Linked DNA regions of Ovis aries. The protein of the gene in region 2 interacts with the protein of the main gene of each other region in a pairwise test. Links are inferred from orthologs where the notes say so. Each region holds a gene or a part of one and is shown on either strand. Other genes may lie near its edges. The genes, in order: AP1S2, AP1G1 and UBL7.

The links.
Region 1: the proteins of AP1G1 (region 2) and AP1S2 interact in binary tests that used the Homo sapiens proteins (3 or more experiments, as listed by UniProt). The link is inferred for Ovis aries from reciprocal best matches to the Homo sapiens genes AP1G1 and AP1S2.
Region 3: the proteins of AP1G1 (region 2) and UBL7 interact in binary tests that used the Homo sapiens proteins (3 or more experiments, as listed by UniProt). The two-hybrid records come from large-scale screens. The link is inferred for Ovis aries from reciprocal best matches to the Homo sapiens genes AP1G1 and UBL7.

The regions. Positions count from the first base shown.
Region 1 is NC_056080.1:14,009,378-14,013,722, forward strand, and holds the start of AP1S2 (AP-1 complex subunit sigma-2), read right to left. Parts: upstream 2,852-4,345; 5' UTR 2,730-2,851; intron 601-2,729; coding exon 422-600; intron 1-421. UniProt on the Homo sapiens protein: Subunit of clathrin-associated adaptor protein complex 1 that plays a role in protein sorting in the late-Golgi/trans-Golgi network (TGN) and/or endosomes.
Region 2 is NC_056067.1:38,857,669-38,861,281, forward strand, and holds part of AP1G1 (AP-1 complex subunit gamma-1), read left to right. Parts: intron 1-122; coding exon 123-212; intron 213-504; coding exon 505-632; intron 633-1,452; coding exon 1,453-1,557; intron 1,558-2,184; coding exon 2,185-2,326; intron 2,327-2,510; coding exon 2,511-2,637; intron 2,638-3,613. UniProt on the Homo sapiens protein: Subunit of clathrin-associated adaptor protein complex 1 that plays a role in protein sorting in the late-Golgi/trans-Golgi network (TGN) and/or endosomes.
Region 3 is NC_056071.1:31,867,889-31,872,171, reverse strand, and holds the start of UBL7 (ubiquitin-like protein 7), read right to left. Parts: upstream 2,874-4,283; 5' UTR 2,836-2,873; exon of another isoform or gene 2,786-2,835; intron 1,493-2,785; 5' UTR 1,464-1,492; coding exon 1,280-1,463; intron 1-1,279.

The DNA.
Region 1 (4,345 bases), on a different chromosome or scaffold from region 2:
ATTCTGAAAGTCAGATTAAAAGGCATATCGAATACCAGTCATTACGGATTTGCGGGGAGAAAGGAGGGGGAGGTAAATGCTTATCTAAATTCAGAAAATTACTCACACAATTTAAAATACTGACTTTATTTTCCCCTGCAAAGAAATGAATTCTTTCAGTTTTCCTAAAAAGATGATTAAGCATGAAGTATCATTTATGCCTTTAGTTACATAATTTCGTTTAAAAAGAGTCCCATGATTTTATCATTTCACCAAAACAGTAGTTATCTTAAAAGTACAAAGCTTTACCTTAAGACTATTTCATTTATATCTTTAGTAATCTTTATTTATAAATGTAATCTCTTGAAAGTCTGCAATTTCCACATTATAAATGATCTAATAACTGATTCTATTTCATCCTTCTAATAAATAAAAATTATACCTTTTGTAAACAATCTTCAGATCTCGCCATTCAAGAAAGCTGCACATTTTAGGTTTCCGTGCTAAAACGGTTTGAACAAGTTCTCTTGTGATCTTTTTCTTCTCTTTGTCTGATAATGGGACATACCATTTCTGCAGTCGAAGCTTTCCCTGACGACTAAAAAGCAACATAAACTGCATCTGTTAAGATAAACAGAACCAAGATTACAGGCAATACTTTGATTCAATAAAGTTAAGATTAAGATGACACGTGGCAAAGAGAAGCTTTGAGGGACAGGGCGTTTAGCCAACAAATGATGAGTAGCCATCAATATTTCTATGCTAGTTAAAATAGCAGGAAATTCTTGTAGAAAGATCTTTCCACCAGATGCAAATCCTCCCACCTCACCCTGTTCCATTTAAGTTTGGAGGAGAGGGGGAGGACAAAAACAGGTGAGGTGAAAATTCTGATGAAAAAGAAAGATAATTCTTGCAATTTAAGAAACTATTGTGTATGTGTGCTATAGGAATGTATATGGATCAAAAGAGAACTGTTGACATCAACTGGTTTAGATGCATTTGAAATAAACAGACCTACTATTTTCCACCCTACACAGAATAAGCTGTTCTAGAGCCAAACTGAATTACTTGTAGACAGACTGCTATAACTTGAAATGCTGTCTTCAGTTTATGTTTACATATTTTAAGCAAAACAAAAGAACTAAAATATAAACCAAAAAAATCCCATAAACACATTTTTCTTAATAAAAGCCTGATTAAAAAAATTCGCATCTCATTTTAAAAATTCCAACATAAATATACACACAATAAAGTGAGTTAATATAGTTTTACGGAAGAGAATATAAACCTTTAAAAAGCCAAACTAAGAGCTACACACATTCAGACATTACACGAAATACTTCATTTAAAACGATTTAAAAACATAGCATCTACAGATGGAGTGGATGCTGAATTCTAGTGTATTTCACACAAACTATTTTGTATACATTTATTTAGAATCTGCAAATGATGATTAGTCTACATGTTTTAATTTTTAAGGAAACCTTCTTGTAATTCAGTCTCCCCAACTGCAAACAGAAAGCATTGTTTCTACAAAGGTAATTTAAAGGTAGAAATTAGATATTTTCTTTTCTTTTAATTATTCTAAGTTTCAGTACTAGTTTCTGCAAGTAGGATTCAGCCTGACTCTTGGTATTAACCACACCATACTGAATTTGAACATGGGGTGGGGGAATTTACACCATCCATCTGAATAAAATGGGCGCTAAATTTCACCAAGAAATCATTGCCGCTTTTTGTAATAATCCAAACGGGCATCAATAAGGTATTTAGAAATTTACGATGCGACAATTTAACTTAAATAAAGTTGAAACTGGCTGTTAACATCACACTTAAAACGCATCACTGGCACGAAATAAACGAACAACACTGGTGATGTCAAAGTGCCTCATACAGAAGTCCTGTTAAGACAGCGACATTAGAAAGGGACAGCAAGTAACGCATCAACTGGACAATGTTTCACGCAAACCCGTTAGCAGAACTTGGAAAAGAACAGACCCGTATTCCAGGATCTTGGAGACCAGGAGGACTGGGGGTTTGCTTTTGAAACTCTAGGACTCAAGGGAGTCTATAGCAAGGTCCTCCATCTCTCCCCACCATCACTTTATATGACGAATAAATAATTTATGCTCTTTAAAATAAATTATATGTTAACATAGGATGATGCCTGGTCGCAAGGCACAAGTATTCCTTCCCTCTAGTTAAAAACCAACGCTCCGATTTTGCTTCAAATCACAAGGCGCCTCAATTCCTGGAGATTGGTATTAAAAACAATGGGCTCGGCCGCGGAGCGGGCTCGGGGCCAGGGGCCGTTGCCTGCCCGCCGCCCCACGGGGCCGCACTCCATCACTGACCGATCGAGCCCGGGCGAGGTGACAAGCAAGGAGCGGGGAAGACAATGGCAACCGCCGCCGCGCAGGGGGCGCCAAGAGTCCTCCGTCTCCGCCGCCCCCGGCCGCCGACCCCGCCCGCAAATGCCCCGCAAAACTTGAGGCGATTCCCAAACCACAGGTGCCGCGGACCCGCTGCAGCGTCCGAAACTGGCCCCCGCAGCCCGGGACGCGGCGCCGAGTGGAGAGGGGCGCGGAAGCAAAGAGAAGTGAGTTTCGGGGCGCGGTGCCCCAGTAGCGGGCCGGGCGGGCGGGCGCGGGGTGGGGTCGTCCAGGCGCTCGTTGGGCGGCGGGGGGCTCGCCCGACCCTCCCTCCCCACTCCCCGACCCCGGTGTCCCCGCTCGCCTCCCGGGACTTACGGCGGCCGCGGGCCGCGACTGCGGCGGGGCTCGGCCGGCGGCGGCGGCGGCGGCAGCGTCGGCGGCGGCGACTAAGGGGAAGCCCCTGTCGCTGAGCTGAGGAAGAGAAGCCGTTTTGCTGTGGGGAGGGGACCCGGTTCGCGGAGGGAAGGCTTAGGCTGAGAGGGGAGGGCGAGCCGACAGACCCCGCCCCGGGGGCCGGACGAGGGAGGAGCCGGGGCTGCGGCGAGCAGAGGGGCGGGCTGGGCGGTGCGCTGGCTGCAGCTCGGCTGTTGCCAACGGCTCCGAAGGCAGCTCAGGTGACCGCGAAGTCCGAGGAATCTGATTGGCCGCGTCTCTACCGAGAGGGAGGTCCGGACCGGAAGCCAGGCCACGTGACCCGGAAGCGGCTGTTGCCAGGGCTGGCGCGCCTGCGCTCTCCTGAGTGCGCTTCTCTGACGCGCGCGGCTGTCGGGTCTATTTTGTGGAGAGAAGACAGTGTTTCACTGTGCCGTTTATTGACCGTACTAAGCTGGGCAGGGAAGGTCCGTACTTCCAAGAACCGCATTCGAGCTCCGACAACTCTCGGTGCCCCGAGAGGGTGGGACGGGGCCGTTTAATGGCCGGTACTGTTGGTGAGGGGAGAGAGGGAGTGCTGCAACTCGGAAGAAAACAAAGCTCTTTCGTGGAGCTCGTGCCCGCGTTTAGAGGGCTTTTTTGCAATTACTTTGCCTCAAAACCACCCGGAATCCGGCCCTTCCCATCGCAGTGCTGCAGTCCTAGACACCTTTTCGCCCCAAACTGCAACTGTCTCTTGCCGGGGCTTGCCTCGCTCATCCTCAGTGCTGCGAACCTGAGGAGTTACTGTCCGTTCCCTGCTGAAAAGCCCGACCGGCACCTCTTCTAGATTCCGCTTCTTTCACCCTCACCTCCCCCACAGCCGCTTGGGTTCCAGTTTAGTCTTGCCGACGACTTTCTCTGCCTGGCATGCCCTTGCTCTCAAATGTCACAGCTCCTATGAAGCCTCACTCACCCATATACCCATTAGCACATCTTGAGTTTTATTCATTTTACATCCCAGCCTAGTTCTCTGCCTGGTATGTAACACCTCTAATAAATGTGAGTTGACTGATAAGGACTCTAAAACGGTAGATTTGTTTGTTAAGAGCCATGGTGCTGAGCATTGTGTCTGGCACATAATGGATGTCCATTTTTTTCGATTGAGAGAGTGGTTGAATCATCCAGTCCGACTCATCTTTTACAGATGAGTAAAGGGGAGCCCCACGGGATTAAGTGACCTTGCTTGAGCAGCCACGGGTTTCTTATGTCGAACGCTATTCATTATCCCAGTCACCGGTTCTTACAAAGGAAATTTAGAATATTGCTTTTGTTAAGCTATGGCCTTTTTGCAGAGGCACCCAAACATAGTCGCCAGAATTTTTTAATGGCCCAAAGGGAAAGTTTTCTAGGAAGCGAAGTTTAATCAATCTAAAGGAATCCTTTATTAGGGATTGTGTTCTTTTCACGTGTGTTAAAATGTCTGTAAAACTAAGTACATAATAGGGATTTGGGGGCATTTTTTAATGCCCTTCTTTGGCAAGATAAAAATGTATATTACCTCCCCTTTCAGACACTGC
Region 2 (3,613 bases):
TCTTATTACTGTCACTCTAGAGGTGCCTCAGTTGTGACCTTTATGGTTGGATGACCTATATGATTTGTATTAATCCTTTAAAGGATAAAAATCTTTTTCAAACTGTGACTCTCTTTTGACAGCAACCTTTGGTGCAAGTGGCTGCATGGTGTATAGGTGAATATGGAGATCTTCTTGTATCTGGCCAATGTGAAGAGGAAGAGCCTATTCAGGTACCCTTTGTCACTCTTGGTTAAGAAAAGGGAAGACAGTGTTTTTGTTTTAAGAGTAGTGTTTAATGCTTTGAAGTCGATTCCTTGAAAACCTTTTAAAGACGCAAGGGTGGAATCATAGATTCATTGGAAAGCTTGCTCAGTTTTCAGTTGGAACCTACTGGGCCATTGTGAGATTTGAAACTCACCTTTAGGTCCCTCTCCCCACCCCATCATAGTGACTTACATTGTTTCTCTTACCTTCTGGCTGAGGAGAAGTGAGAGTGTCATGTTTCCATTTTTTTCTCCCCAGGTAACAGAGGATGAAGTGTTGGATATTTTAGAAAGTGTCCTAATATCTAATATGTCCACCTCTGTGACACGAGGTTATGCCCTCACTGCTATTATGAAGCTTTCTACTCGATTCACCTGTACTGTAAAGTGAGTATGGAGAAAAAGGGTGAATGCGATATATTTTTTAAAAACTTTTATTTTGGGAAACTTCAAGCAAAGGCAAAAGTAGAATAGTAAAATCAACTGCCTATACCTCTTACTCCTCAGTAACAGTCATCACTTCATGGTTAATCCTTATTAGATCTATACTTTGCTCCCTGTCATCCCTTCATCCCACCACTGCTTAATTTGAAGGTAAAAACTAATGTTTTTAAAATCAGGTATCTGATGTCTGTTTATTTTTTTAAAGTACTGAAGTTATTTTCCCATGTAAAGGTTCTGGTTTATTATAATTTGAGATATCTGAATTGGAAGAAAATCATTTTGGTGTTTAAATCTTTAAATTTTGCTTTTTTAAAAAAAGCCACTGTTTTGAATAGAACTCAATTCTTGGGTCAGTTTCCCAGTCAAGCATATTTAATATAAACTTAGTTCTCTCAGATGTTTTGCTTTTGTTTTTAATGTAAAGCCTCATGAAGAATGATATTTTTTACTGTTTAAATTGTGAAGTATAAGAATTTGGTATTAGGCAGTGACACTTTGCTTATAAAAGTCTGATGCTATGACCCTTTTGTTGATAAAAGCTTACTACTGTAAAGTTATTAAAGAAGGGAATGAATACTATAAATTTGTTATTTTATAGCAAATTAATAATTGGTACTTTTGTTTATCAAATTTTAGGGTATGAGATATTAAGATGAACATTTCAAAATTTTAACCAGAAACCTCTGTTTTAAACACTGTTCTTTCTGCTTGTTTATGAATTTTCTTTTGGATGTTTGAATTTGTTTGTCGTTTTATCCCAAAGCCGAATTAAGAAAGTGGTTTCCATCTATGGAAGCAGCATTGATGTGGAACTCCAGCAGAGGGCAGTAGAATATAATGCACTTTTTAAGAAATACGACCATATGAGGTAAGTGAAAGAAACCGAACAATGCATGTGCCTCTTAGCATCCCAAACACTTTCTCATGATAACCCGTAAAGGAGTTTCACCCCTCATGCTTTATTGGTGGGACATCACAACCCCGTTCAGTTCTTGCGGCTTGGCTACTTGTGTTTTGTTCGTCTTCTGTTCTGCCTAGCCTCTAAAGAAATAAGTGAACCGTGTTCTTTTAGTCCCCTTTTCCCCTTTCTCTTGGTAAGGAAAGTTTTCTTCATTTCCATTTTATTTGGTGAAGAAGTGAGAGTTGTTTCATCTCAGGAGAATCTCATTGAGATATCATTACTATTACCATTGTGAACTGCTAATATGTACTTGTTTATCTTTCTTTCATTCCAATTTCTCTGTCACTTATAATTCTCAGGCTCTTGGGATTTAGATGGACAGTTTGTCCATTCAAGGTTTCCTGCCTGCCCTTAATCCAGTCAGGAATGTAGGTCACGTATTCTTGTAATCCAGCTTCTATTTTAGTATATGTGTTGGGATGTGGGGAGGGGAGAGGTCTCTCCACATTTGGCTGGAGTACAGTTAACAGTGATTGTTTTGGGTAGGGAATCTAGGTTAACTGCCTAGAATTTAACCACTTCAGATTCTTCCAGGTCTGCCCTTCTTGAGAGAATGCCTGTCATGGAGAAAGTGACCACAAATGGCCCTACTGAGATTGTACAGACAAACGGAGAGACAGACCCAACTCCTCTAGAGACAAAGCCACCGCCCTCGGGGCCACAGCCCACCAGCCAGGTAGCTTTTCCCTTGCTTATCCTCATGATCTTCTGGTTCCTTAGACCCTATTTCTTAGGTGATTCCCTTCAGTGTTCCTGGGTTGATTGATAATTCTGTTCCCTGTTTTTAAGTATTGAAGGGGCTTTGTGTTAGATAACAGATTAGACAGTGACAATGAATAAGATATTATTTTCTTGTTTAGGCCAATGATTTATTGGATTTGTTGGGAGGAAATGACATAACACCTGTTATTCCAACTGCACCTACAAGCAAACCAGCTTCTGCTGGTGGAGAGCTTCTTGATTTGCTGGGAGACATCAACCTTACAGGTGAGGCCAGACTAGAGTTAATTTCATGCTTGGCCAGGGATAAGGGCCTTAGGGAAAAACTACACTGAATGTAGACTTTCTGTCTAGCACATGAGACAGTTGAAGAATGGAGAGGGTAAGTGACAAAAAACAAGAATCTTCACAACTTCTGGCCTATGTTGCCATACTAATACTCTAGAGGTAATTCATAGAGATTCCTCAAAGTCTAATTTTTAATTTTTGGAGAGTAAATTACTCAGTGTTTTAAGACAGAACAGTCTCAGGCTAGAAAAGAAGCACATCCCAAGAAATACATGACTTTTTCTAGGTTTCTTTCTACTCATGGTTAGTTTCCAAGAGCTGTGGCCTTCTGTGGAGAGTGGAAAGATGTTAACCTGTTTTCCTCTTTCCTTCTCGCCCTTTCTTTCTCCTTCGTGTTAAAGCAATGGAAGGATAAAATTATCCAGGGTTATAATATTCAAACATAACTTTTCATTTGGGGATATCTTATTTTTATTGACATGTAGTAGAAATTTATAATTAGTGTGTCTGCAGATACTGTAAACACAAGAGGTCAAGAGAATATCACTGTAGCATATAATTTCTATCTTAAGTGACTTCTCTAAAAGTAAAATGGAGAGTTACAGCATACATGACCTTGAGTGGAAAACGGCCATAGGTTAAGGATGTTGGATGCTAATCTAGACAGGCTATCACAGACTTAAAGGTTTTTTCCTAACATAACTGCCTCCCAGAACTTATGGTTTATATTTATGTCTTAACAAAATTTCAAAATATTGCTTGTCATTGCTTAGGGCCATTCACAGTCAGTTTCAGATCCCGGGATGCCAAAGCTGTCCTGAACATACGGAAAAACAGGAACAACCCCATTTGAAACATAGTGTTTGGGGACCTTCCTGGCAGTCCAGTGGTTAGGACTCTTGTGCTTTCACTGCCATGTGCCCAGGTTCAGTCCCTGGTCAGGGAACTAGGATCT
Region 3 (4,283 bases), on a different chromosome or scaffold from region 2:
CCTGTTTATATGCCATTGTATTAATAATATATGGCTTCCCAGGTAGCACTAGTGGTAAAGAACCCACCTGCCAGTGCAGAAGACTTAAGAGACATGAGTTTGATCCCTGGATTAAGAAGAGCCTCTGGAGGAAGACACAGAAACCCACTCCAGCTGGGCTGGAGAATCCCATGGACAGAGGAGCCTGGTGAGCTACAGTCCATGGGGTTGCAAAGAGTTGGACACAACTGAAGAGACTTCGCATGCATGACTGAAAATATACTTTTTGCCAGTTTATACCACTTTTCTAGTTTATATGCTATTGCATTAATAATACAATTTAATTATATTCTCTTTCTGAAAGTGATGCTGGAGTCCAGGGTTTGATCCCTGGTCAGGCAACAAAGATTCTGCACACCACACAGCATAGTCAAAAATAAAAAGAGAAAGAAATAATTTATATTTAAATTCCTTCTTCCTCCACCTAGAATGCCCTTGCCATCTCTCCTTTTTGGTGGGTCAGACGGTAAACTGTCTTGCTTACAATGCGGGAGACCTGGGTTCGATCCTTGCGTTGGGAAGATCCTCTGAAGAAGGAAATGGCAACCCACTCCAATACTCTTGCCTGGAAAATCCCATGGACAGAGGAGCATGGTGGCCTACAGTCCACGGGGTTGCAAAGAGTCAGACACCACTGAGCGACTTCACTTTCACTTTCCCTCTAACCAACCAACCAACCAACCAACAATCCTTCTAACCATCCCTTAAGACTTACCTCAAATGCCATATACTAAGGGCCTTTCCCTAGCCAGCACCTCCTTCCAACCCAAGTTCTTGCTCTTTCAAAGAATGTCATAGTTAAGGAATGTCGTGATGAAGTATTTCAGTATATTGTACAGCTAAAATGGCAACCAACAGTTTTATTATATGATTTGTTTCTATTCACCTAACAACAATCACTTCCCAGCTTAACATTTGTTTTCGTTTACTCTCTAAGTCAGACTCTTTCGCGACCCCATGGATTGTAGCCCATCAGGCTCCTCCTCCCATGGCATCTCCCAGGCAAGGATACTGGATTGGGTTGCCATTTCGTTCTTCAGGGGATCTTCGCCACCCAGGGACTGAACCCACATCTCCTGGATAGGTAGGCAGATTCTTTACCACTGATCCACCAGGGCAGCCCAGTGTTTACATTATGAGACAACAAATCCCAAACTCTTAATTTACACTTGTGATTCCAGAATGATTCTCCCCCAAAAGAATCAGAGCAGAAGCCCATCCCGAGTACACAGAGACTCACCAATCAGCTCAGGGTCTGGAACAGACTCCTGGAGTTTGCCAGCAATAAGCTGCTTCAGAAATGAAATACTATATCCCCCCAGGGAGTATTCTCCGAGCTCTGTCTCTGGCAACCGAAGAATAGATTTGGGGGCAAGTGGCTGGTCAGCCAGCTTCACCGCCAGGTGCCAATCTGAGAGAGACATCCTCTCTCTTTCGCGCTCTCTCTTTCTCCCTGTAAAGGAACAAAGCCTTAGTGGTTAGACAGACCTACACCACCCCCACCCCACCAAGGGGTTGAATGAGAATTCTCTGTGACTCTGTTGGAAAAGCTCAGGCTGCAGCATCAGGAGGCCTGAACTAGAATCTGAGGTCCTCTTTTCACTCATTCTATGGCAGCAGGAAACTTCAGCTCTCTAAGCCTCTTTGGCTTTACAGTGGACATAAAAATGCCATCCCACCTAACAGGAGCGTTGTGAAGTTCAAATGAGATCATCCAACCCTCTCCCTTACATTACACACACTCCATGTTTCTTCATCAACTTTTGTTTTAACCACCACAACAGCTTTACCAGAAGCTCCCTGCCTCCTGCTTCTCCCTGTTAAACATCCATGCTGCCACTCATCATTTTAAAATGCAGATCTGATCAATATACTCCTCTGTTTAGAATTCAAATCACTTCTATGAATAAGTCTAAACACCACAGCCTGGCTTTTAAAAACATCCACATCTGTTCTCTCTACCAGCCTTCCCCTCTCAAGAGCTCTGGACTGCCCCACCCTTCCCAACACTTAAGTCCACCCCCACCAAGCATGAATTCAAAACAAAGCTCTCCCCCACTCCGCTCATCTAACTCTGCATATAACTCCTCTTCCCTCTTCCCTCTCTAATCAAACTCCGATCAAGAGCAACTCAAACACAACCTCCTCTATTCTCTCTCTCTTTCCCCCCTCTGTTGTTGTCACATTCCCTCATGACAAAGGGTTACAAATACCTATACTATTTACTTCTCAGTCGTCTCTGCATCTCATTCTTAGAGGCTCTTGAAAGCAAAGACTAGAATTTTGTCTTTATTGACTCAATGCCCGGTATTTATGGGTATCCAGAAAATGAATCAGAAACCCGGCGGTTGGGAGAAATAAGACAAGACAAGCCCTTGTTAGAATTATTATTGCTTCCAAAGTGGCTTCTTTGGAAGAGGAAAGAAAAGGTTTCGAGGCTGTGCAGCAGATCCTAAGGCACCCTCAAATTTCCATCTCCAGGTTGATGGCGGGGAAGAAAATGGATCTTTTAATATACTATGTATCATTTAATCCTCACAACTGTTCTGAGACAGGCATTTTCATCTACATATTACAGCCGAAGGAACCGAGATCTAGAAAAGTGAAGTCTGCGGCCCAAGGTCACTGATAGTTAATATTGCGACAGGGACACTATCTCTTTGGTGACGACCCCTCCACTCCCACAGAACCAGCTATCTAGTCACCACAGGTCGATCCCGCGCGGCCCGGGACCCAGCGCCCTCACCCGTCCCGCGGAAGGAACCCGGCCGCAGGGCCGCCGGTGTAAACACTCACTCAGGTCCTCTCGCCGGAAACCGGAAGCTCCGCGCTGCATTCTGGGAGTTGCAGTTCCTGAGGCGGCGCCCCACCACCCCGCCCCACCCCCGCCCCTTTATAAACAGCCGGCCGGCAAGGGGGAGCTAGTTGTAAAGCTTCCGGTTTCCGGGGGTGTGGCTCCTCTGCAGTTTGAAAGTCCGGGCGCGAGGGTGTCTTCGAGCTTGCGCGTGAGGGTCTTAGGTATCAGTCAGTCTTCCAAGACACAGGTTACGGGAACGAGGTCTGGCGTGAGGTTTGCATGCGCGCGTGCTAAGTCGCTTCTGTCCTGTCCGACTCTTTGCGACCCCACGCACTGCAGCCCGCCAGACCCCTCTGTCCGTGAAATTCTCCAGGCAAGAATACTGGAGTGGGTTGCCACGCCCTCCTCTAGGGGATCTTCCTGACCCAGGGATCGAACCGGCGTATCTTTTGTCTCCTGCATTGACAGGTGGGTTCCAGGTGTGATGTTTACAGCCCCACGATTCCTTCAATGTCCTGGTTCGCATACAGAGTCCGCAGGTTACGCCAGGTCCGTCCAGCGCTGCAGATGGGAACGCCGGTTTCCGGACTCTCGGCCCTGGGTCTCCTGCTTCGACCCGTCGTCGCTCGGCAAGGACCCTTTCCGGAGCGGCCTCTTCAGACTCCCTGTTGAATATCCTTGTTCAGACTCGCCCCAGCCTTGTCATCTTCACTAGGAAACGGCCTGTCTTTGAGTGAAGTCAGCTTCCTTTGTGCTCCTCGCTTCTGGCTTTTCGTGGCGAACATGCCTGTGAAGGCATACTAGGAACCCAACGATGAGTTCCCCTAAAAGTTGGTACCTTGAGAGAAGTTACCAAGGGTTCCTGGTACGCCCCAACGTGCAGTAGTGGGGTTTATATCAGTCATTCATAGAATTAGTTCGGGAAGGGGAATTTCACTGAACTCTCAGAGAAACTGCATACCGTCGTCCATGGTATCCACAGGAGATTGCTTTCAGGAGCCCCTCGTGGATACCAAAATACGCGAATACTTAAATCCCGTGCGTAAAACTGGTATTGTACAGTCGAGTGCATTTTAGATGCATAGTTATAGATTTTTTTGCCCAGAGATTAGAATTAGATAAACTATTCTGTTCGAACTCTCCTGGAGGAACTCATTCAAAGACTAAAGAAAGCCAAAAAAACAAAAACAAAAAAAACAGGTAAATATATAAGAAAATAATGAGGTGATCCTCGCAACTAAAGACTGATTGGGTGTGCACAAACGTAAAAGCAGGACTGCAACATTCCAGTGTATGGACTGAAACTAAAGCAACAACTGAGCAGGATAGCTTGACTATGTAGAGCAGATAAACTTCAGGTTCTGGGAGGGCCTAGCACTGGAGCTAATTACTACTCTATTCTTCAGTAAACTGAAAAATTAAAGCAATGGGAATATCAGACCACCTT